Linked DNA regions of Arabidopsis thaliana. The protein of the gene in region 4 interacts with the protein of the main gene of each other region in a pairwise test. Each region holds a gene or a part of one and is shown on either strand. Other genes may lie near its edges.

The links.
Region 1: the proteins of CLA1 (region 4) and NMNAT interact in a two-hybrid assay, tested with the Arabidopsis thaliana proteins (one study listed by BioGRID).
Region 2: the proteins of CLA1 (region 4) and GLDP2 interact in a two-hybrid assay, tested with the Arabidopsis thaliana proteins (one study listed by BioGRID).
Region 3: the proteins of CLA1 (region 4) and AT5G23490 interact in a two-hybrid assay, tested with the Arabidopsis thaliana proteins (one study listed by BioGRID).

Annotation. Positions count from the first base shown.
Region 1 is NC_003076.8:22,583,450-22,588,062, forward strand, and holds NMNAT (nicotinate/nicotinamide mononucleotide adenyltransferase), read right to left. Parts: upstream 2,838-4,613; 5' UTR 2,791-2,837; coding exon 2,741-2,790; intron 2,568-2,740; coding exon 2,494-2,567; intron 2,099-2,493; coding exon 2,013-2,098; intron 1,836-2,012; coding exon 1,803-1,835; coding exon of another isoform or gene 1,741-1,802; intron 1,707-1,740; coding exon 1,567-1,706; intron 1,465-1,566; coding exon 1,311-1,464; coding exon of another isoform or gene 1,284-1,310; exon of another isoform or gene 1,220-1,283; coding exon 1,118-1,219; intron 1,023-1,117; coding exon 964-1,022; intron 877-963; coding exon 780-876; 3' UTR 536-779; downstream 1-535. Other genes in the region: WYR (inner centromere protein, ARK-binding region protein), read left to right, coding at 2,838-2,915, 3,147-3,375, 3,778-4,613. UniProt on the Arabidopsis thaliana protein: Catalyzes the formation of NAD(+) from nicotinamide mononucleotide (NMN) and ATP. Can also use the deamidated form; nicotinic acid mononucleotide (NaMN) as substrate.
Region 2 is NC_003071.7:11,108,498-11,116,050, forward strand, and holds GLDP2 (glycine decarboxylase P-protein 2), read right to left. Parts: upstream 5,795-7,553; 5' UTR 5,290-5,794; coding exon 4,057-5,289; intron 3,892-4,056; coding exon 3,646-3,891; intron 3,541-3,645; coding exon 3,463-3,540; intron 3,371-3,462; coding exon 3,270-3,370; intron 3,173-3,269; coding exon 2,977-3,172; intron 2,904-2,976; coding exon 2,778-2,903; intron 2,696-2,777; coding exon 2,510-2,695; intron 2,417-2,509; coding exon 2,303-2,416; intron 2,228-2,302; coding exon 2,075-2,227; intron 1,978-2,074; coding exon 1,789-1,977; intron 1,703-1,788; coding exon 1,625-1,702; intron 1,543-1,624; coding exon 1,417-1,542; intron 1,317-1,416; coding exon 1,218-1,316; intron 1,132-1,217; coding exon 1,014-1,131; intron 925-1,013; coding exon 833-924; 3' UTR 506-832; downstream 1-505.
Region 3 is NC_003076.8:7,917,837-7,925,391, reverse strand, and holds the start of AT5G23490 (uncharacterized protein), read right to left. Parts: upstream 6,016-7,555; 5' UTR 5,562-6,015; coding exon 5,409-5,561; intron 5,111-5,408; coding exon 5,048-5,110; intron 4,849-5,047; coding exon 4,553-4,848; intron 4,437-4,552; coding exon 4,337-4,436; intron 4,258-4,336; coding exon 4,180-4,257; intron 3,645-4,179; coding exon 3,585-3,644; intron 3,483-3,584; coding exon 3,378-3,482; intron 3,097-3,377; coding exon 2,986-3,096; intron 2,544-2,985; coding exon 2,502-2,543; intron 2,356-2,501; coding exon 2,242-2,355; intron 2,165-2,241; coding exon 2,025-2,164; intron 1,279-2,024; coding exon 1,040-1,278; intron 970-1,039; coding exon 848-969; intron 763-847; coding exon 720-762; intron 637-719; coding exon 545-636; intron 260-544; coding exon 211-259; intron 1-210. Other genes in the region: AT5G23480 (SWIB/MDM2, Plus-3 and GYF domain-containing protein), read right to left, coding at 6,885-7,341, 7,454-7,524.
Region 4 is NC_003075.7:8,882,280-8,888,181, reverse strand, and holds CLA1 (Deoxyxylulose-5-phosphate synthase), read right to left. Parts: upstream 4,358-5,902; 5' UTR 3,965-4,357; coding exon 3,815-3,964; intron 3,532-3,814; coding exon 3,406-3,531; intron 3,323-3,405; coding exon 3,007-3,322; intron 2,901-3,006; coding exon 2,629-2,900; intron 2,542-2,628; coding exon 2,268-2,541; intron 2,191-2,267; coding exon 1,883-2,190; intron 1,801-1,882; coding exon 1,519-1,800; intron 1,441-1,518; coding exon 1,156-1,440; intron 1,069-1,155; coding exon 928-1,068; 3' UTR 515-927; downstream 1-514.

The DNA.
Region 1 (4,613 bases), on a different chromosome or scaffold from region 4:
CAACAGTTCTCTCTCCCGACCAATATGCGATCGATGCTACTGCCGCTGTCCATTCCCAATATATTTTAAAGCGGAGAACAAATACTTGTGTTCTCGCAGTTGTAGTCCGAATTCCAATTAGGCAATGTATAACAAAAATGCGAGGTACTGACGACTTACCCATTTTCCCCCTATTTTGATATTCCGGCTCTGTGAGATGTAATTTTCTATTTCGTTTATTATTTTTTAAAATTTTATGTAAGATGTAATTTTCTTTTTTTCTCTTTGGTTTTTTTGTTAATTTTTTTTCTGAACTTACGTATTATGTTTTTTTTTTTTTTAATGTTCTTGCATTTTTAAGCCACAATCAAATATGCAGAACACAAGTAAAAAAAAATGCAGAGAGTTCACTTCTAGATGTCCCTAGCTTTGTCTGAAACCCAGCTATAAACAATGTCCATCCCCCTGAATCCTCAAAAACAAGTCATGGGTATTTCATGACTAGTCCCCAGCTCATTCTTATCGAAACAGAGAAGTTAGACTTTGACGCTGATTTTGAAAACTTTCAAATATATTATATAGAAGTAATCCATCATCAGTTTCACATTTCTCTCGCCTCTTTTGTGTTTTTTTTTCTTCACATTTGTTGTACATATGAATATGATACAAAGAGTTGATAAATAAGAACCTTAAAATACAGAGACTCAACAAATATATCTGATCTGTTTATCACACCATTATTTGATGAGTTGTGTTGTAATATTTGATCTGATGAAGTATAATAATCCTCTCAGCGTTTGTCATGTGAGCTCAGTGTATAGTTGATGTTGTCTGATATAATCTATTACTCCATCTTCAGTCAAGTATTTAACCGATAACCCTCGCGAAATGCATTGCCTGAAAGAAGCAGAGGAATGAGCAAGAGAAATCATTTTTTAGTGTATATGAACTGTTCTCGGGAAGGATAAATAAATCTCACACTACCTTAATCTACTCGAACTGATTTGATTAGGAACAGTATTGTCAACGATTTTGACGTTAGCCTGCGAAAGAAATCGAGGGGGCACTATTCAGTAAACCATGTGCACAATCACGGACTGATACAGCAGAGTCAGAACAGAAACCTGGTAATACTTACACAGTTTTCGTTTAAGATTTCGTCACCAGAGATCATATTTTCAACATCTTGTCCTTCTCTACGGATGCACACAATGCCATAATCTTTGCAAATAGTTCTTAACTTCAAAAACCAAGTGTTGAAAAAGGAGCATAACTGTGAGTAAATTTGATAAACACATCTACGTTTATATAACAATGCTACCTTGGTTTACCTGTTCAGGGATCCAAACACCGGGAGTGCAGAAAGATAGCAGTAAATCCGAGCCACATAGTAGCATGACTTTGAGAGATTCTAGCATTAGAATAAATTTGTGTTTGTCATTTGCGTAGTGGCTAGCACGTATGATAAAAACATAGCAAGCAACACTATTCAGACGACCCAGCAATTACTCCCAAAATGTAAGTGAGATAAACTTTGAATAGAAAGATGCTAAAGGCGACACAGGACACTTCTTGCAGTTATCTTACCCTCGGGTACATGTCGATTTGTTGTTAAGAAAGTCTTGACCCTTGATAAAACCGTCAAAGTTCGTTGGTAGTTGCTTTGAGATGCCTGTAGAAACAGCTTCCACATTTTTGTAAACAACGCATTGTTCCACTAAAGAGAACTGATTAAAAGCTTTTCGAGGAATAAGAAAGTACCTCCCACGGATCAACCATTACAAAGTCAGAGCTTTGACATGATACATTACACATCTCTAAACGATGTTCTGCAGATAAAAGGCCCTACACATAATCTGATGAAATTATTAGTTCTAAGGGAAACTAAACAGAATAGTAAACAGAAGAACTTTGGGAGCTAAAAAAGAAAAAGAAGCTCTTAGTTTCATCACACATAACATGTCCATTAGCATAGGTTCAGAAAAAAAAGAGTCATTATGGAAAGAAACTAAGATTCTCAAGATGACAAATACCTTCTTCTTATATGCATCATTAACAGGAGACATATATCCTCCAAGAACATGAAATCCTTTTGAGCGTAATTCATCTCTCGCCAGCTCTAGCGACAAAAAAAAGGAAGAGAACTTATCAGTTTGATGTAAAGAAACATATACATTTGAACAAAAGGTCACAGCAATGGACAAGAATCAACAATTGAAACCTCTAAGTTCTGCAGTTCATTCTTGTCATATGCCGGTTTTATAAACCAAAATATACAAAGCTAACACAATCATATACTCAAGAAACGGTTTCACTCAAGAAGTAAACAACAAGGCATATAATCTTAAGCTACTTTTGACTATAAACCAGTATTGGATTTTCCCATTGAAACGAGTCAAAACACTGATCATTATGCCTCAAATTGTGAAAACTTTCGGATTGATAGAATCTGAAACGCCATTGATAAACATATAAAAAAATGAATTATATATCTACTCTGGTAAAAGAACTGACCAAACATGCGTAAATGCATGAAAGTAGGAGGATTGAAACTCCCAGTTGCCACAAGCACTACACAAGTTTTGTCCCTGTTTCAGACAAACAATCGAAAATATTCAACACCCGGACGGAATTTTAATAATAAACCTGGTGAGAATCTCATCATCATAAGTAACCAAGCAGATCAAATTTACAAAATCAGAATTTTCACAAAAAAGACAAATGAAGGGAATCAAAATCGAGAATAAGCTTCAAAATTTACTCAGTGTTTGATCCATAAGATAATTTCTCGACTGGTAACGGGACATCCATTGAACTCTGATGATTGAATCTCAGTCTCTTAATGGTAGCTCCGGCGAATGATCAGGGACAGCGAAAATAAGACGACGACGGCGAAAGTATTAAAAGATAGAGAGAAACGACATCGTATGAAAAAGGTTTGTTAAAACGAAACGTTTTACAGCTAACGAGAAGATAGATATTAGACACAATACGAAGCCGTTTAAAACTAAACGCATCGTTCAGGTAGCGAGGGTTAAAAAAGCTAAAAAAGCTTCATTCTATTTTTTTCAGTGAAAAACGAAAGCGAAAATGAAATCTTTATCCCCAAAATTTTGAAATTCAAATCCGCGCTAACAGTCTCTCTCTCTCTCTCGCTCTATCTCTAGAGTAGGTCGTCGGCGATGTTTTCCGTCAAGGAGAATCCGAGGGGGAAGACGGCGAATGTGAAGATTGAGAATCTTTTCGTTCAGATCTTTGAGAGGAAGAGGCGAATCGTCGAGCAGGTTCAGCAACAAGTAGATCTCTATGACCAGCATTTAGCTTCCAAATGCCTACTCGCCGGAGTATCTCCTCCGTCGTGGCTCTGGTCTCCGTCTCTACCTTCCCAAACTTCCGGTAGTTGTTAAATCTGATTTTTAGTGCTCAATTTCTTGTCCGTGATGGTAAATGTAGATTTGTTTGGCTAATTAGAGCAAAATTGATTAGTAGTCTTAGTGGCTATTGAGTAATGATGCTGCGAAGTTGTTTGATACTTAAACGGGAAATGGATTGAAAGTTTATAAAGCGTATTACCATAAATTTGATGTCGAATTACTGTGAGAAGATGGAATTGAAAGATTAGAAATGGTGTTAGGGTTCATAATCACACTTTGATGTTGATTTTTCTGTGATAAGTTAAGGAGCATTTTGTTAAGGCTAGTATTAACGTACATTGCGTGTATATCTGTTTCAGTTACGATTGAATAGAAGAGTTTCTGTTTGCGATTCTTATTGTGATGTTTGTTTATATGTATACAGAGTTAAATAAGGAGGAGATTATATCAGAACTTCTATTTCCTTCATCAAGACCTTCCATCGTTTGTCCTAGCAGTCGTCCCTTTTCATACCAACGGCCTGTCAGGTTTCTAGCTGACAATGTAGTAAGACAAGACCTGACCTCTGTGGTAAATAACCCGCTAGAAGAGCAGTTGCTTGAAGAGGAACCGCAACACAACCTCTCACACAACTTAGTCAGACAAGTTTCGAATCATTCTCATGAGCAGGATGTTAATATTGCATCTCCTAGAGATGTACATGAGAAAGAGAGATTGCCAGAAAGTGTCTCAATCGATTGCAGAGAGAATCAAAGTTGTTCATCTCCCGAACACTCCAAGAATCAGAGAGTTGAAACTAATCTTGATGCTACATCTCCTGGATGTAGCCAAGGGGAAAAGGTTCCCAAATGTGTCTCAACTACTGGTTGTAAGCGGAAATCTTCATCTCTTGGTTATTGTCAAGAGGAAATTGAACCAGACACTTGCATTGACCCTGGATTATCACTTGCTAAGATGCAGAGATCAAGGTCACGTCAAAAAGCTTTGGAGCTTCGTAGTAGTGCAAAAGCGTCAAAAAGCCGTTCAAACAGTAGAAATGAGCTCAAACCTTCTCCGGGTGGTGATATAGGCTTTGGGATTGCTTCATTAAGGTCTGATAGTGTTAGTGAGATAAAGTTATTTAAGCATGATGAAAATGATGAAGAGTGTCGAGAAGAAGTGGAGAACAGTAATTCTCAAGGTAAAAGAGGAGATCAATGTATTAAGATTAGTGTACCTACAGAGTCTTTTACCTTGCATCATGAAGTGGATTCAGTGTCA
Region 2 (7,553 bases), on a different chromosome or scaffold from region 4:
ATCTGATATTTAGTAGAATAATGCTACAAGTCTGATTAGTGGCAATTGAAAAAATTAGCAGAAACATAAGAGCATCTCCCATGTCCTACCTTTATTTTTTTTCACTATTTTAGAGTTGATTTTGTTCCAATGTGTGTCTCTAAAATAGAAAAGATTAGCATTGGTTAGAACTGCTTTTTGTTTTTTTTTGGCCAAAATGTAGAAAAGTGAAATTAAATTTTAACTCTACCAAGTTCCTAGTTTTCTTTGGAAAGGAAGTTCAAGTTGGTATTAAGCTTTTTTTTATAAAAAAAAATCTAACTCTACCCAAAGGAGAGAGAAAAAATAACTACTTCAAAATTTAGATTCCTTTCCTTTAATATTTGGTTGTTTCTTTCACTAAATTTTTTTGTCTCCTTCACTTCCACTTTTTACTCTACATGCAACCATTCAGAACCTATATGTTGTCAGTCAGTTTGTTTATAAAACCTAGAATTATGGTTATTTTGCCAAATTTCCTAATTATAAAATGAAACAATAAATATCCTAAGAATTCAAACTTTTTTCAAAGAGATCATATGGCATAAATATAACCACGATGGTGATCACATCATCCAAATGGAATGTTATACGTATAAGAAAGTGGAACATAAAGAAATGTATTTTATTAAATAAATGAGGGAAGAACTTAGGACTACGTATGTACATTGTACAGGAAGTGAAAGTGAAAGTGATGATGAGGCTGGGAAGAGAAGTAAAAGCCAGTAAAGATACGTTTCTGGATCCGGTATGAGTCCGAATCGCCCCATTGTGGGTTTTGGTGCGAGTGCGAATCGCTTCATAGTGGCTTCATTTAAGCAGACACTGCAGCTGCAGCCTGTTCTTCGTTCGCCGGTTGGAGAGTGCACACCAGATTACGGTCTCCATACACGTTGTCCACTCGCCCTGTTTCACACATATTTAATACATTTTGAAACGATTTACAAATAACAAATTGTTTTCTATGGGAAATGCCACCCCTAGTTTTCAAGTACCTGTAGTGGGCCAGAACTTGGAGGAGCGGAGCCATGGAGCGGGGAAGGCTGCGTATTCCCGTGAATACGGCTTTTTCCATGTATCTGCCATTAGCAATGACGGAGGATGTGGAGCACCCTGTGTGTGTTTGTTTTTTAAAGTTCATTAGTATCAGACTAGAGGGCTAGTCCGAACTGAAATTGTGGTCTCAAATTTTTTCTTACCTTCAGAACGTTGTTGTTTGGATCTGCGTTTCCTTTCTCAATCTGTGAAATCTCTTCCCTGATCGAGATGAGAGCATCACAGAACCTATCTAACTCAGCCTGAAATATTACATATATATATACAAATTATGAAGCCATGTTTTAGAGACTGAGAGCTGAGTCAGTGAGAGATTTGCAATGCAATGCAAGACATAATTACCTTGCTTTCGCTTTCGGTTGGCTCGATCATAAGCGTTCCAGGGACAGGCCAAGACATTGTCGGTCCATGGAAACCATAATCCATCAATCGTTTGGCCACATCCTCTGGTTCAATTCCAGCAGTGTTCTGAGGACATTGAACAAGACATTGATTTAGCATGTACAACCAAAAAACAGAGCATTTACTCAAACGAGATAAAGAAACATACCTTGAATCCTCTCAAGTCAATGATGAATTCGTGAGCGACTGTTCCATTGACACCACGGAAAAGAACTGGGTAGTGGCTCTGAAAGACAAGAAAGCATAAGTGAGGTTGCACAAGAGAAGAGACGTTCACTCTCTTTAAAGAGTTGTCAAGATAAGATAAGGTACCTCCAGACGCTTTGCCATGTAGTTAGCGTTCAAAATTGCAATCTTTGAGGCATCGGTGAGTCCTCCAGATCCCATCATGGCAATGTAAGTATACGAGATTGGCAAGATAAGCGCAGACCCCCATGGTGCTGCAGAAATGGTTCCCAGCGGTGATGTCTGCTCGGGTTCAGGGATACCACCGGTAGGTATCTGTAGCAGAGTAAACAGAATGAGTACAAAAAAGCAGATAACTCAATCATTGAGAAAGATGGATTAGCGATCATAACATATAAGAATTAACACTAACCACTGGGTGAGAAGGTAGGAATGGAGCCAAATGTTGCTTCACACCGATAGGGCCCATTCCGGGACCTCCACCTCCGTGAGGGATACAGAAGGTCTTGTGGAGATTGAGATGGCAAACATCCGCTCCAATAAAACCAGGGCTTGTCAAACCCACCTGGAAGTTCCAAAAACTTTCTCAAATTCACAACTTTTGGATTCTTCAGTCAACATACCAGCAGAGAAACCATACCTGTGCATTCATATTAGCACCATCCATATAAACTTGGCCTCCATTTTCATGAATTATGTTGCAGATCTCGTCGATACCCTCTTCGTAGACTCCATGGGTGGAAGGGTATGTAACCTAATATTCAAACAGAAGTTGTAGAATTAGAAAGTGGATTGACCCAAAAGTGACATTGTTTCATCTATAGTGATGAAAGAAGTAAATACATACCATAAGAGCAGCCAAGTTGTCCTTGTTGGCTTCGGCGGCGTTCCTCAACTCTTCGATGTTAATGTTTCCTTTGGCATCAGTTCCAACGGCAACAATTTTCATTCCGCACATGGCAGCACTAGCAGGGTTTGTCCCGTGTGCAGAAACAGGTATGATGCACACATTTCTGTGATGATCGCCTCTTGACTGCATCATTTATTCACCCATTTACCAAATTTGTTGAAGTGCGAGTTCATATTGGAAAACAAGAAACTACAGGTATGCTTACCATATGATATGCACGGATAACCATGAGCCCGGCGTACTCGCCAGCAGCACCGGCATTAGGTTGCAATGAGAAAGAGTCGAATCCAGTGATCGTACATAAGAGCTCACCCAAATTCGTAAACATTTCCTATAAGTTGTCAAACAAAAAATTCAGTACGTAGTTAAATTTCTAGTCAGGTAAATCAAATATGTGGCCTCACCTGATAACCTTGGGCTTGTTCAACAGGAGCAAAAGGGTGCATGTTGGTGAAACTTGGCCATGTGACTGGCATCATTTCAGTGGTGGCATTCAATTTCATCGTACAAGATCCAAGTGGAATCATGCTGTGGCACAATGATAGATCTTTATTTTGTAACTTGTGGATGTACCTAAGCAACTCATGCTCCGTGTGGTACCTAACCAAATGTAAGAAAAAAGGGAAAGTAAATGTGAGGTACTTAACAATAAGCCACAGGGCAATGAAGGAACCAAGATTTAAAGAAGGTAACATACATGTTGAAGATTGGATGGGTCAGATAAGGGCTCTCTCTTGTTAGGCTAGAGGGAATAGCATTGTTAAACTCCGGTGCAAGAGACTCAGCCGTGAATTGAACCTTGTACATTGGAGAAAACATTATTTTAAGCAAACACGAAAAAAAAGAGTGAACAAGCGAGATGAATGGATATTAGCTTAAAGTAAACTCACGGGCTTGCCCGAAGCAAAAACTTCAAAAAGTTTATCGACATCATCCAAGGTGGTTGTTTCATCGAAAGCAACAGTAATCTTAAAGAACAAGAAAAAAAACCCATCAATGTTAATAATCATATCCAGATATTGAAGAAATATATATATATATATATATATATATATATATATGAAGAAACTCACAGTGTTGGAGTCCACAAGACGCAAATTGATCTCCTTCTTGGCTGCCACATCAAAAATTGCAGTTGCATCTGAACATGTAACTTTGACAGTGTCAAAGAAGGGAAGATCTTGGACTTGTGCAGTTCCCAGTTTCTTCAATCCTAAGGCAAATACACCAGCGAGACCATGAACCCGTTGTGCAATAGATTTTAAGCCTTCTGGTCCATGGTAAACAGCATACATAGCAGTCATATTTGCAAGCAAGGCCTACAATGTAGAAAACGATAATCAATAGCAAAATAGTTTGAAGATGTAAAATATGGTACTGCTCTCTCGGTACCTCTAATTCTTCCCGCTTTTGTTATCACTTATCAGTAATAGTCAAAGCGGTATACACTACATAAATCCTATAGAGTTTGAAGCCATTTTTACCTGAGCGGTACAGATGTTGCTGGTAGCTTTATCCCTGCGGATATGCTGTTCCCTAGTCTGCATAGCCATACGCAAAGCTTGCTTCCCGGAAGAATCAACACTAACACCAATAATCCTCCCAGGCATCATTCTCTTATACTCTTGTGAAGTAGCCAAGAAAGCAGCATGAGGACCACCATAACCCATCGGAACACCAAACCTCTGACCCGACCCAACAACAATATCCGCCCCAAACTCACCCGGCGGTTTCAACATCGTCAAAGCCAACAAATCCGTAGCCATAACAACCTTAACACCATTAGCATGAGCATTCTTAACAAACTCACCATAATCCAACACCTCCCCTTCAGTCCCCGGATACTGAACCAACACTCCACACACATCACCAGAGCTATAATCCACATCCTTAATATCAACCGTCACAACTTTCAAATCGAAACCATCCGCTCTCGTCTTGCAAACATCAATAGTCTGAGGATGACAATTACTAGCAATAACAAACGTCTTCTTCTTCCCCTTTAGAATATTATTACACATCGCCATTGCTTCCGCCGCCGCCGTACCTTCATCGAGCAACGAAGCGTTCGACATCGGTAGACCGGTGAGATCAGTAATAACCGTCTGGTAATTGAGCAGAGATTCGAGTCTTCCTTGAGAAATCTCAGCTTGATAAGGAGTATATTGAGTATACCAAGCAGGATTCTCCATTATATTACGCAAAATCACAGGAGGAACATGAGTGTTATAGTATCCCATACCAATGAACGATTTGAAAACTTTGTTCTTCGAAGCTAAATCACTCATATGCTCAATCATTTGACTCTCCGTTAATCCTTCATCAAATATCCCGGAAAACTTCATCGAATCTAACCGAATCGATTTCGGAACAGTCGAATCAATCAACGTGTTGAGATTATCGAATCCGCAGTAATTCGCCATCTGAGCTTGTTCATCCGGTGTTGCTGAGTTGTGCCGGCGCGGGAAAGTGTCGCTTGGCTTCAACGCATCGACGGAGATCGATCGTGTCTGGTGTTGATTTCTACCGGAGGTGGTAAAAGCCGATCCAGAGACATCACGACGGCGATGGAGAAAGGAGGAGACGGAGGAGACATACCTTGAGGGAGTAACAGTCGTCGTCGGAAGAAGAGAGGATTCGCCGTTACGGTGGCGTTTTGTCTCGTTGACGAGACGTTTCACGATCCCTCTGTAAGCAAGTCTCCTTGCACGCTCCATAACCAAACCAAAAAAAAACAAATGCAAATCTGAGAGAGAGTAGAGAGACACTGAAGAAAATGCTGATTATATATATATATATATATAGATTATAGTTTTGAGGTTGGTAATTATTAATTTAACGTATTTTATTGTGGCTTTGAGATCTGAAGAGGGTTGGTGACTGACAACCACTCAACTCAATAAGCAACTATACAGAAGAAACAAATTTGTTTGCATAGATTCCACGTATTTTGCATCGAAGCAATATGCTGATAAAAAAAAAAAATTATCACCTTTTTCTGGAAAAATTGCGGCTGTAGGATTTTGATATCACTATCTAGAAATTTAAATGTTTGATATGCTAAGGTTTTAAATCGTATAAGAGTTCGAAGGATAGTACGATACATTTATTGCGACTATCGTAGTCATAGTTTTAAGTATATAGTTCATGCAGCCGTTATGGTTATAGAAATTATCAAAATAGTATAGTCAATTCATAGTATAAGTTTTGCAACTGGATACACATCTCTTATACTTTTGTATCATAGAAAATGCTTTAAACCTCGAAGAAAGATTGAATGGAAGAGAATCAAAGTGGAAGAGATTGGAAATATGTGGACGACAATTTTTTTTTTCTTCCATAAATTTGCTTTACAAACAAAACTAAGAAAATATATTGTAAAGAGCTTATGATTATTATGGTTCACATAGTTACATAAATATAGGTGGCAAGATGTGTTTCACATAAAACTTATCTCATCAATGTACGGTTTCTTCGTTGTTCATCATTTGACAACGGAACTATCGTCCTCCAAATATTGCAACTTTTTTTTTTCTAATTAAATTTCATGTTTTTGTTAGTGCGGTTTGGTCGGGGACCCTAGCAAAATATTTCCCATCAACCTAGTAATACCTGTAAAAGAGTTGGCATTTCACAATTGATCACAATAAACATACTTTTTGTGACTCAAATTGATCATTTTATTCATACTTAGTAGTTAGTACATTTAAAACGCGTGGCAGTAAATTGGGTCAAATGATCTATATGTTTAAAGATCTATAAGTAAATTAGGTTACCAAACTAGTCATTCTCTACTACACGCAGAGATGAAAGTTCTAAGCTATGCAAAGTATCAACGGTCGGTCATGACAATCTGGGGTCTAAACCATAAATTATATATTTTGAAATTAATACTCCCTCTATTTCATGAAGTTTGATGTTGTGGGTTTTCACACAAATTAAGAAAAATAACTTTTTATTTTTTTATTATTCTTTTGTTTGTTTAATAATATCAGACACTGCCTTTCTCTTCTCTATATTGGTCACAAATAAAAATACTAATAATATTGATCTAAAACATCAAACTTTTTGGAACAAGAAAAAAAACCTATAACATCAATCTTGATGGAACAGAGGGAGGGAGTATAAACTGTTTTGCAATTTAAGGTTTTTTTCAAATTAAATATTTTTGGGGGCCTATTTACAAATAAATTTTAATGTAATTTTTTGAAAAAAACTATGAGGTCACATACAAATGTTTCATGTTGCTCTCCTCAGGACCGCCCTGAAAATATCCTCTCAAACATAATTGATTGTTAGGTGTTCGAAACAAACAAATTCACTAATGAAATGCATCACATATTCACTAATAAAATCCACATAATTCATCTACTTTCCCCTTTTTGGATAAAAATAAGATAAAAACGAGTGTGTATGTTGCTCAAATATATAAGTCACCATTTCGCCAATAATTTGTCAACGTTTCCGCAAAAGCAATGGATATCACATTTGTTTTTTTCCAACAATTTCTCTAATATATAAGTCACTATTTGATTTGTACCAAAAAAGTGTCACTGTTTGATTTGAAGCCTATATATAAATTTAAAAAAAAAAATAATAATAATAATTATGTTGACAGTGGGATTTGAACCCACGCCCTTTCGGACCAGAACCTTAATCTGGCGCCTTAGACCAACTCGGCCATATCAACATTTTGGTAACCAAATCCACTAAACGGTTTTATCTTTAGAATAATTCTCCTGCAATTTTGACATAGTCTCATGTCTGATTTATCTCCGCTGTATCATAAAATTTGAAACAGTATTTGATGAAAAAAATTAATATAACAAATAAATAGATTGAATTTGATTTCTTTTACAAATGAAACAAGATGTATCATCCATCACCCAGTGCCTATACTGGGCACATAAATCTAATTTTACAAAAAGGGATATTGATGTATCTGTCTATAACATATAGTTTCAGTGTATATATGTGGTAC
Region 3 (7,555 bases), on a different chromosome or scaffold from region 4:
GTCAAAGTAAAAAGAGGATTACTGTTACATTTAGGTCTCAGAATAAATATTATCAAGTTCTCAACGAATGCTTCAGATTTAAGGGAAACATTCTCTAACACAACCAACCAGAAACAGCTCAGGGAGCATAAAAGACGTAACATCTTAATATGAAGACGTAAACAGACAAGTGGCAAGAGGGTGATTCTCTAAGTAAACAGATTAACTTACGGCAAGCAATCTTGCGGTTATCATTGGCAAAAACCTTCACAAGCTCCCCCTGAAATCAGAAAGTAGCAAATGAATATTGCAAACCACATGAAAAAAAAAACTGAAAAACAATCAGCAGAAAACAACAGTGTATGCACATCTAACAAAACTGTTAAATCGTATCTGTACTTTCCAAAGGCGAATCTTTTCCCCTACAACATTTTAGCATGAAATCTAGCCGACGAAACAAAATGCTGAGGTAAATAATGGAAACTAAAATCCATATCAAGATTCCAGTATTCCACAGAAAAGAACCACTCAACATATAATCTCATTCATACAAAAAAATATTAACCTTTCGGTTCCTGTCATCCAAAGGCTGAACCTCAATAGCAAGATATAAATCAACATCATCAGCAGTGACAAGGTAATTTGGCTGCTTTGCTCCTGCATTAGAAGTTCGTTCACGACTAGATTCTTATTTCCATATAAAGAAATAAGAAACAAAATTCAGCAGGAGGGGAATGTACCATCAATGTAATTCACAGATCCATCTTCTAGGTGACAGACCCACTGAAAATTGAAGAACAGAAGAAGATAGATTAGATGCAATTCAACATAAGTAAGGAAGCGATTCTGTTTTTTATTTAGTACGCACCTCAAAATTACAACTTGTTGTTCCATTAATGGAGTAACCACAAGCCTGAAGTTCATGTCCAGGATAAGGTTCTCCTGAAATTTGGAGGTCCTCTATACCTGGTAACGGGTCATCATCTCCACCTGTCAACAGTGGTTCAAAATATTGAGACAAGTGAAAGACCATAATGGAATTAGTATTGTTAATCATTACCCTCAGAAAAGGAGGAAGAAGGTTCTTCAAAAACTGGGGACAAAAGAGGAGAATTTGAGGAGCTTGGGTCATCAAACGCAGACCCATATGATGGATTTTGAGCATCGTCGACCACCGTCTTGCTGATAGGCTCAAGAAACTGGACATGCTTAGGTGGAGTTTCGTCTACTTTCTTATGAGCAGGAGATTCGTCCACGCTGGTACCTGGTTGCACATGCATCTCAAAGGCTGCCGACTGACTGGTACACACGAATGCATTTAATCATCAAACATTGCAGACAGTTATCCACCAATAACTACAGTGCATACAACCAGGTGAGCACTACGAAATTGATCATAATCGTGACATGATGAAGTCAGATGATCTGACACCTCATGACAGATCAAGACATAAAAACATAAAGAAGAACAGCACCTTATTTGGCCTATGACTAATCTGATACATTTGAGAATTGAAATCATCATATTTCCCAGAGGGGACAGGAAGTTAGAAAATGTAAGAATAGGAAAAAGTCGATGAACACTAAGAGTGCAGAAGAGGGATACTAACTATTGGCTTAGAACTACGAATTTTCAGAGTCAACAGGAAAGACTCAAGCGTCAAGATTCATTGCCAAATTAAATCAAATACTTTTCAGCGTGTTTTACAAGTCAAGAGAAAGCAGTCAGAGTCAAGAGTCAACAACAAACAAAGGGCCAAGAAGTCACGGACTTGTTCCTACCTAACATGAACATGTGGATTTAACTCCTTCATTCCCTGCGGTAGCTAAGTTAAGACCAACCCTAAGAAAGAGAAAGAAGCTAAAATGCTTCGCTTGTAGTTCCTTGGATGATTTCCAAGTGAAGGATCCCCACCCTATTATATCTATTGGGATAGAAATATACAATGCTCTAGCAACTACATGTGTGGATTTCATAAATATTGAGTGTGTGCACATAGTTTTCATACAGTTTGGAATATCAATCTTTGCAGGGACAAACTCACCTGTTTTCAAGAGGTGAAAACGTACTAGAATCATCAAGATGGTAATTCCTCACAGCTGAGCTACCTGGCTCATCTTGCTGCTGGCGCTCCAAATTCCAGTCTATGGCTGTGTGATCATGAGAATACATGGAATCTTTTGTCTGGTGTAAACACAAGAAGTAATTTAAGATTCTATTCACTCAAGCTTATGATATAACACTGAGGAATATGCACATACGGAGTGGGTTAATGCCACACCAGCTGAGCGCGATGGAGCCAAAGGGGAATCATTTGAGTGGTTCACATCTGACTGCCATGGTGCTAACTGATATTCCGACTCCTTCAACTTTGTCTAGTACAAGAAAAAGATCAGAAACAATCATCTATCATATGTCTGTAAGAAATAAAGCCAATTCAACGCTAAGAAAAAAACAGAAGTCAAAAATGAAGCAGACACTGAGATTTAACACCAGATAAGCCCATACCCGGATAACATACCTCAGTAAGAAGGAGCTTTTCTTGTAGATGCTTAAACAAAACCTAAATAAATAAAAAACAGTAGCTGTAAACGCCAATCGCTAGTTTAACATAAAAACTGCAAGAAAAACTTCACTTTCATATATAGTGAAGCAGAGTATAATATATAATCAGTCGTTTAATTTCCTATCCAAATTTCTATGTTCTGTGGTTCTCCATGACTCCACATAAATTTCACAGATAAGACAACAAATGCTTATGCTTCCATATCCATGAAGCTCAAAAAACTATGTCAACCAAGCTCCGTTAATCATCGAATAGGATGCAGTGCAACAAAACCTCTCAAATTAATAGGCTACAGTATACAGTAAAGTCAAAGATAGGAGCTAGAGATGGTCCGAACTTACAACAGAATAATAAAACAAGAAACGTAAGATTCCAACACAAGTTATAACAAAAAAAATAAAAGATAGCGAGAGACAGCACTTCAGATTTTGGATCTTACCTTCACATTGCTGACAATAGACTGAGCATCAGAAACCTGTGGTTGCAGAGAATACTCTGATAAAAGAGGTAACAAGTATGATACAAATGTAGATCTTTCTTGCTGTGTAGCCTGGAAAAAAAAACGAAAACAGGCATATTGGCTTCGATTTAAAAATTAACCAGATTTTACGTAGATATATATATACCAGTTGCAGTATAAAGTTATCCAAAAACATGATGAAAGTGAGGGGCCAGAGACAAATCCTAGTTTGAAAACTGAAGTGGAAACTGAAATAATTCAAGGTGTCCAGCTAAATAGGGTTACCAAAGAAAAAGGAAATGAGGAATTAAAGCATATGCCAGAAGACAGACAACTAGTGCTGTATTCCCACACACACAAAATGATAGTACCTGTAAGGCATATGTTAGGCGTATATTTTCTTCAATTATCTCTTGTCTGTAAGAGAGAGCTTTTGATGAAGCATCAACAAGATCTTGTTGCTGTTGATCAAATGCCTGGTTACAACAGCAACAATCTTTCAGCTTCCAAACAATTAAATTAAATACATTTAATACGAGATGAATAAAACAGATAAGTAAAAAAAAGGAAAGGCCTACCAGACGCATGTAGGCAATTCTCTTTTCCAGAACATATTTTTCATTGCGAATTTGGGCTTCCTATAAGATAACTAAAATGTTAGTCATCTGATTTAGCATAAAATTAACAAAGAATGCAAGGGATGAACCAACAGAAAGCATTAATGACTACATAGTTTATTATGTCATTTACGCTTATGGTCGCATGGGCTTTATTTGTGGTTGAGCTGATTGTTTAGGGTTTTGCTCTTGTTTTGTGCCCTTTCGAAGTGAACATAAAAACCATTGAAGAGATTATCTTTGGTTTGGATCAATAGAGAGTTTGCTGTTTCTCCGATGAAACGGAGTAAGATATTTGCAGGTCCTTCTAAGTAGCAGAAAATCTATCTTTTCCCATGAATATTATACTCTGTTTATGACAACCTTTTATTGATCCAAACCATAGATGATTTTCATTTCTTGTTCTGCTCACTTCTAAAGGACAAAAAAGAAGAGAAAACCCATATGCAACCAAAGAAACCTGACTCAATCACAAACAAATCCCAAGGAACCACAAAAGTTAGTAACACAAAACCCCAATAGTGACTAGAAATCTCCCATGTCGAACAAGACTCACCTTAACAGAACAGTCAGTAAGATATCTTCTCAACTGCGAAATTTCTTGTTCCTGCTCCTGGACCTTGTGAATGAGGTCCTGAATAGGTACATAGTCCGGTAAACAGTTTTTCATTTACACCAATAAAACCAAGACGTAGAGTAAGTATGATAGAGACCTGCTTCCATGCATTGCCTGAATGATTTACTTCACCAACTGGCATAGATCCATGAGTAGACGAACTGAAGTGTGCGTCATGCTCTCCCTCCAATCGCATTCTAGCAGATATCAGATCTTGAAAATTATAGGCATTTCGTTCATGGAAATTCATCTAAGCCATAAGATTTACAAATAGACTCAGCACACGCAAGAGTGGTAGTTTCTGTTTCAGTACCTCATAGGAGATATTGACGAATCGAATTGAGAGGGACCAGTACCATCTATAGCTCTTTTAACAGTGCCATTACTTATAGTTTCTTCAGAATGGCTTTCAAAACGATTACTCACAGTAGCTTCTTCACCATTAGCATTCACATGGGGGTGAACAACCAGCAAGCCTGATGAATCAGCATCTGAAGCTTTGATCACAACTGGCTTCCAGTCAACTGGCTGGTGAACCAGGCGGGACACAGTGGTAGAATTTGTGTGATCTCCGATATTAGAAGTTTGGGGCAAGGATTCATCTGATTTCTAGGCAAGATAACAAGAGCAAGACTACCAATCAAAAATTTACCAAATATGATCTACGAGCTACTAAACTTATACCATGGAAGTATCACCATAACAAAAGAAAAGGATTCTCACTAATTGCAAAATACTGATATCTGATAAAGACTGCGCAAAAGTAACCAGAGATCCTCTCTTATCCTTTAACTAGACAATTACTTACATATTTAGCCAATTCCAGAGCACTTCGCTGAAGTTCAGCTTTTAATCGGCTATTCTCTTCCACCTGCTTAGAGGATAAAAACACATTCTTAGATGCCTAAAATACTTCGATGACAAACAAAAACCATCTTGCATTGGCAAATGCTAACAAACAAGAGACAGATCCTACACTCCAGATACTTAATTATCCCCTATGCATCAACCAGACTTAATAAAACCTTGCATTTCACAACTACTTCTCTAATAAAGCAGACATGTCAATACAGAAATTTAGACAGAACTCCTGGAAATGGATTGATAGAGGAAGTACTTCCCCACGAATCGAAACAATTTCAAATAGAGACACAGACGGAGAACCAGACCTGCTCCTTGATGGTGGTTTCTGCTGCTTCAACAGCTTTGATGACCTGAAACAAGTTGTCGTTCTTAAACTCGTTCTCAGGCAAAAGAGAAGAATCTTCGAAACCCAATCCGGAAAATCTCTCCGCCAATCTTTCCTCATGGCCATTCTCCATCTTCAGCTCCTCACTTTGAAGCTGACTAAATCCCAATCAAGTTCCCCAATAAATTGACCAAAGGACTCTAATTTCCTCTCTCTTGTGCTTCTTAATTATCATGATTTCATCTGAGCGCTTAAGTAATCAAATCTCACACGAATGAAACAGGAACAAAACCAAAACCCCAAAATTTTCCAAGGAAGGAAATTGAGCGTGTTGATTTCAGAAGAAGCCGTAATGATTGCGAGAAAACGATAAGAATCAATTACACAATCACATGAGAAAGAAAAACCCAGAGAAAAAAATGGATTTTTTAATTGAAATGAGAAGAAAGTTTCCTCCTTTTGTCTTCGTCTTCTTCAAGCAATCTTTCTTCTCTCTGTCTCAATCAGTTTTTTTAATTCTGGACTGGTAAGTGTTGTGCTGACTTCTGGGTTTTATACATGTTTCACTTTCTTCAATTTAAATAAATACTGCACTTATTATTTATGCAAAAGAATTAGGATTTTCAAATAATTTTAAGGAATCTTCATGTTAATAATTATGTTCCATGGATTTTAAGAGGAGACTTTTTTACAACAAAAGTCAGAATCTTTGCATTATGTGCACTAAATTCAGCAACAACCGTTTTAGAGAAATAAACAAAATGCACACTTTTCAGACTTAATGCTAAGCTTTTTGCAAGTTCTTCAATTAGGTTTTGATCTGAGATAGAAGTTTGGTTAGTAGCACTGCACTCTCTCCTGTCTTCCATACTTTGAAATCTGGAACTCCAACAAAGTACTCTTCGTCACTCCACGTTTTGAGATCTGTGAGAGAGAATGGTCCATGTGTTTTTCCTTTAGGGTATTCATAGAACCACATCACCTTCTTTGGATCATAACTCTGGTAAGCTTGATCGTTTTTGTCCTTTTCGTCGTCGTCATCATCATCGCTCAATTCAATAATCTCAATTGGATTTGAGTGTGCTTGAGTTTTGTTAGAGAGATCAATCACTGGAGTACTTGACTGATGCTGACTGACTTTGGTATTCATTTCTCCTTCAGTGATAGAGTCCGTGTTCAGTGTTATGCCATTTGCTGGCGGCTCGTACACATCTTCATGGAGATCTTTATTACCTGGAATTTACACAAACAAATATATGGGTCCAGATCAAGTTCACAATATCTCGCTTCTTGGACACCACTTAGTTAACTATGAAGGACACATTCATCTAACATCACTTTGACAAAGGCAAGGACGAATAGGATTCATTAATCCAACCAATTTAAGTCCTATCGATGAATTGAAGTTACAAAGAATGGGACGCACCTGCAGAAGCAGTCCATATTGGCTGGTCTTCTAGAGTTTTCTGGATACTAGAATCTGGTAAATCACTTGGTTGTATTTCTTCATCACTTTGATGCGCCTCAGTGAAGGCTTCAGGGTTTGGTACGGTACGTCATTTACTAGTTTTCCATCATCATCTACAAACTCAGGTTCAAGTTTTTCTGCAACAACATCGGGAACATCACACAGCAGCCTCAACTGCTCTTCCGGATTCTTAAGAAGCAAGGAATTTTCTTGACTTTTCTTGACACTAGAAGAAACTGGTAAATCTCTTTGTCGTTGCTCTTTGTCACTTTGATGAGCCTCAGGGTTTGGTACAATGAGGCTATCTTCTATTGTCCTATCATCATCATCATCTTCACATTCAGGTTCAAGTTCTTCTGCAACAATTTCTGGAACTTCATCCACTAGCCTCTTCTGTTCATCCGGATTCTGAAGAAGCTCCCTCTTCTCCAGATACTGGGATAGTGTATTAGCTAAGAAGTCAAGAAAAATATAACAGAAAGAGTCTCTCATATTCACTAGTTACTCTTCAAAGTAAAACAATATATTAATATTGATAATGCTTTATTAAAGGATATTCTCTTCGCCATCCCTTTTCATTGGCCTGATTAATAAGCCTTTGTAACACTACAAGTTCTCTTGCAATCCACTAAAAAACATTCGTAAAAGTTGGAGTTAGT
Region 4 (5,902 bases):
TAATCTATAGATTAAATTGATCAATTTATTTAAGATTTACATTATAGTATATTTAATTGGTGAAGATAAATTTATATATAAAATTGATTACATTCATCTTTATGAACCAAAAAAAATAAATCCTAAAATCATCTTTTTAGTGAAAGAGGAAGTATATTAGATATAAACATAATTAAGATACTATATCTTTTCTTTTCATTTTTTTATTCAATTTAATTATGATTACACTATTTTATATTTATTAGGTATAGATAAATTCCCAAGTAAAGTATACTTAATAAGTAAAACTGAATACATTCATCTTTATGAAAGCAAACTATAATCATAATCATCTTATTTAGTGAGAGTAATTATTAGATAAGATTATAAGAACATAATGAAGATACTCTATTATTGTCTAATATTTTCTTAACAAGAGAACTCTCTTCTGTAGATAGAGTCTTTCAATGCCTTTAGGCTCTTTGGGGATATTTTGAAAAAAAAAATACTTGTATCCAATCTTGTAAAACCGGATTGGAATGTAAACCGGAAAGTGGTTCGGGTCACTGCATTGGTACGTTCGATCGTCAGTCAATGAGGCCATATATATAGGTCCAGGTTTAAAAACACTGCTCGTACCAAAATATGTCACACAAAGCTATGAAAGATACACAAAGAGATGTAATTGATTTTTACAAGATGTTAGATTATTGTACAACACGATCTCCATCACAATCCTAAACAAAATTACAAAACAAATACCAGTTTTATCATAATACTAATCTTTGCACAACCTTTGCCTTTGCCTTTCTCTTCACAATCTTAGTAAATATATATAGCTGTTGCCAAAGGACTTCTCGGCGGGAATTCTGATCAGTACTTAGAAGAAACCTTGGGTTGCATTTAGAGTGTTTGTATACATATGTTTTAGCCAACAGATTCTTACTCTCAAAACAGAGCTTCCCTTGGTGCACCGATTAAGTTAAGTGCGGTTGCTGCGATGTGAGATGGCATGAGTCCAGCTTCAGCTAGTTGATCAGCTGGTGCACCGTGATCAATGTATCGATCAGGCAGTACCATTGGTCTCCACTGTATATTCAAACAGTTGCAAATTAGAAACAGTATTTTTTGAAAAGACAGAAAAATATTAGAGAGTTTCTGGAAGTAATAAGTAACCTTGAGTTTGCCATCAAGAAGACCATCGAGAGCAAGAAACTGAACAACGTGCGAGCCAAAACCTCCAATGGAACCTTCTTCAACCGTGATCAGAACCTCGTGCGACTTAGCTAAGCTGCGAATGAGAGCACGGTCCAATGGCTTGCAAAACCGTGCATCCGCTACAGTTACGTTTAATCCGCGTTCTTCGAGCATTACAGCCGCTCCTAAACAGCTCTGAACTGCTGAGCCATAACCCAACAACGCAACTCTCTCTCCTTCCTTTAAAATTCTACCTTTCCCAATCTGAAATACACCCAAAGAGATTTTCTATCTCAAAATGATGAAGGAAGAGAGACATATTTGAGAGGACCAAAGTTATACCTCAATTGGAACACCTTTGTTTCCGGGAGGTAATGCAACTCCAATACCGTTACCTCTAGGGTAACGGAAACAAGAAGGACGATCATCAATCGCAACAGCAGTTGCAACCATGTTAAAGAGATCTGCTTCATCTGATGGAGCCATCACTATCATGTTAGGAAGACAAGCCATAAATGTCACATCGAAAGCTCCACAATGTGTCGGACCATCAGCTCCAACGAGTCCAGCTCTATCCATTGCAAATCTCACCGGTAATTTTTGCAAATCAACATCATGGACAACCTACAGAGAAGGCCACCATATACTCTATTAGTTTCTTAAAATGTTTTATTACAAAGTAAAATGATTAAGATGTTGAACTTGCCTGGTCATAAGCACGCTGCATGAAAGACGAATAGATTGCACAGAAGGGTTTAAGGCCTTCACAGGCTAAACCCGCAGCAAAAGTAACTGCGTGTTGTTCCGCTATTCCTACATCGAAACATCTTGTTGGGAAGCGACGTTGAAAGAGATTTAACCCGGTTCCACCTCCCATGGCTGCATGAATCGCAACCACATCTTTGTCTACCTCTGCTTCTGCGACTAATGCCTCCGCAAAGTAAGTTGTGTAAGATTGAGTCTTATTAGTAGTTTTGAACTGTCTACCCGTTGCTGGATCAAATTTCACAACACCTGAAAGAAAAATAATCAATATATATATCCCACTGCTTAGGAACTAGAGAAAACGTTATCTATCTAACTTGTTTTACCATGGTATTTGTCATCAGCTCTCTCCGCGTAAGGATAACCACGACCTTTCTCCGTCACCACATGAATAAGTACAGGTCCTGTGGTTCTGGTACTCTTAACTTCTTTAAGAATGGCTACCAAATCATCTATGTTGTGCCCATCAACTGGACCAATATAGTAAAGACCGAGTTCTTCAAACAGTGACGATCCAGTCCCGCTTATCATTCCTCGAGCATACTCATCTACCTTAGCCGCCAACTGATGCATTGGTCCGCCTATTTGCTTTGTCATACCCTATACGCAAGAAAAGCCAAAATTCTCATCAAGTCCATAAAGACCAGTATTCTTTACCATTCTAGAAAAGAAATGCAATAAACTTGCCTTTGCGACTTCTCTCAACTCTCTGAGAGCCGGGTTAGACTGTAACCGACTAAGAGCACTGCTCAATGCACCAACAGGTGGACTTGGTCCATCCAAAGTAGCTGTAGGTAATGAGACTTGCTTGTTGTCATTAAGAATCACAATCATATCAGAGTCTAGATATCCGGCGTTGTTCATGGCTTCATAAGCCTGTCCTGCCGTCATCGCACCATCACCAATCACAGCAACCACATTGTTGTTCTTCCCCTTCAAATCCCTTCCTACCGCCATTCCTGTAAAACTCATATATCTGATTCAGTTCTGTTTTCTTATTACAGTTTACTGTCTAAACACAACAACACAAGGCAAACACACCAAAGGAATGATTGATTGTATTACCTAAACCAGCAGATATTGTGGTTGAGCTGTGTCCAGTACCAAAGCAATCATGTTCACTCTCTCCTCGTTTGGTGAAACCAGAGAGACCATTGGTTTGCCTCATTGTAGGCATCTTTCCTCTTCTCCCAGTAAGAATCTTATGAGGATAAGACTGATGACCAACATCCCAAAGAATCTTGTCTTGTGGAGTATTGAAAATGTAATGAAGAGCCACAGTAAGCTCCACAACACCAAGACTTGACCCCAAATGTCCACCGGTTTTCGACACATTAAAGATCACGTCTGATCTCAGCTCATCAGAAAGTTGTTTCAGTTCCTGCAATAAGTTGTTACCAAATGCCACCAATCCATCAATTTGTAAGAAAGCTAAAACAAATGCATCAAAGCTAGAATCTTTACCTTGACAGAAAGATTTTTCATGTGGATTGGGTAGTTAATAGTGTCAAGTAATGGAGTTGGTGGTCTGTTTGAATAATATTCACCCTTCTCTGCAAGTGAAGCACACACTTTTGCTCTTCTGTTTGACTGTACCACAACACAAAACCCAAATCGCAAAAGCTGTCATTTTCTCTAATCAGTTCCCAGAAATCAGAACCAAAGAAGCAATATTATTGGTCTAATTTCACTATATTTTCCACAGATTTCCAATAAAGTAACTAAGAAAAGGAGTCAAATTTGTTTGACTTTTGTCAAAAACAAAGTAAACCCATTATTTAATTCAAGATTTCAGCAAATGGGCAAGCTACAAAATCTCATAGTTCTTAAATCAAGTTCCATGATGAAGCAGAGAAGAGAGAAGTGAACTTACATGGGAATTGTTGTTGGGTTTCAGACATGGTGATGGAAGATCTGTAACCAAAGATCTAGAAGAAGACAAAGAAGTTGATTTACAAGAATCAGTTGAAAGTCCTCCTTTGGTTATTATGTAAGAAGGAAAAGCAAATGCAGAAGAAGCCATTGGAGGTACTTTTTGAAGCTCAAGAAAGTTGAAAACTTTAGGAATGTAAGTAAAACATATAAGGATTTATAGAGAATAAAATTTAGGCAAATTTTGAGGTTATCAAAAACAGTAAAACAAATGAATAAAACGCACTTTCGAATCCCACTACAAGTGAAAGTGTGTGTTTAAATGTGGTGGTGACAATGGTGGTGGTGGAGAGTTGAAGAAGTATAAAGATGGAGACTTTAAAAAAATGGGGTGATGAAGTAAAACGACAAGAAAGCCAACTTCATGGATCACGAATTTTATGTAACCGTGCTGATGATATTAAAAAAAAAAAAGAGAGAGAAAAAAAGAGATGGTGAGATGGTTCGTCATCCGCAGAGAACTTGAGATTTTGGTTGGGCCACGTCAACCATGAAATCCAAGTTTTGGATAGATATTGATGATATTATTTATATACGTTAGTACATGTGTATATTGTTTGTTCCTTATTTCATTTATAAAGTTCTTTAAAAAGAAAATGAAAGAAAAGAAAATAAATAAATATATTCACGCATACATACCAAAGACGATAAAGGCAATATAATCTTTTGTGGTATAAAGAAATGGAATTTAAAATGATTATAGAAGAATTGTAATTTGATTTTTTTTTAATAAAAAAATTAACAAGTTTAGCAGGTACTGACAAAGAAAAAAATCTTTACAGTTTTTGATAAAATTGGAAACGTATATTTGTATACAGAAAAAAATCCTACTTTATATATTTCTATATATATATATAATTTCACACTATTATCTTCAATGATATTCCTCTGTTTCTACAAGAATAATTTTTAGATGTTTTACAAGAAAAATTTTTAAAAATAGCTTTTACAGTTTGTTATTTTTATTAATTTAATAATATTAATTTTACTTTTTTCTTTGTTTTTGTCAACAATTTTCTCCTCTTTCTATCGGTAACAAATGAAAGTAAATAATAATGTTGATATAAACATCAAACTATTAGAAACAAAAGGAGTATTTAATATAACCAAGATAGTGCGGTAGTGTCGTAACTCGTAAGTGTATGATTTGGGTTAGTAACTTAGTATTATCGATCTTATTACATTAATAAAGTTTAATATCATATTAAACAACTACATAGATTAAATTTTATGATATTATCACATTATTAAATGAGCGAGAATCACGTTACAAATCCGACAAAACATATAATATTTGACATTCTTGATTATTGGGTTTCAATTGAGTCAAATATGAATAAACAAAACTTACATGAAAGTTTAAGTTTAAGTGTTTAACTAACGACAGTTCCATCACAAAAAGAAAAATTGTAATCACGCGGTTCATTTTATAATATATCAAAACTTATTAAGAAAACAAGCATGTTAAATTGATATGTTAAATTTTTAAATATTGCATTTTCAAAATGATATGTTATTTTTAACTAATTTTTAATGGTGGTTTTTCGATTTTCAATTAGTTTGAATATAACAGTTGGATAAAATTTTGTCGAAACTGCTTGAAATGCAAGATGACAATATTATCAGCTTGTCAGAAATACGTATATGCCAAATTTTCATCATAACGTTTTTTGGAAACTCTCAGATTCAAAGATATTTCTTGAATCTTCTGACAGACAAACTATTGTTTGATCATAATAAACCGACAAAACAATTAATGTATATGCACGTATACATCATAAATATACAAATACGTATTCTCTACCAAAACATTGTAATAGAAAATCGCCTAAAATGTACGAGGCATTCAAATTACTATGTTATTGTTGAAAGCATACCATATTGACGACTTAGTGAATATGACTAAGTAAACTAGATCAATAAACACAAAACCTAGTTCTCAAACTTGATTTTTTCATAAAAAAGTTGTCTTATCAATAGATTGAGAGGTTTTCAAAAAGTTCAAAATATCAAAACGAATAGAGAAGAT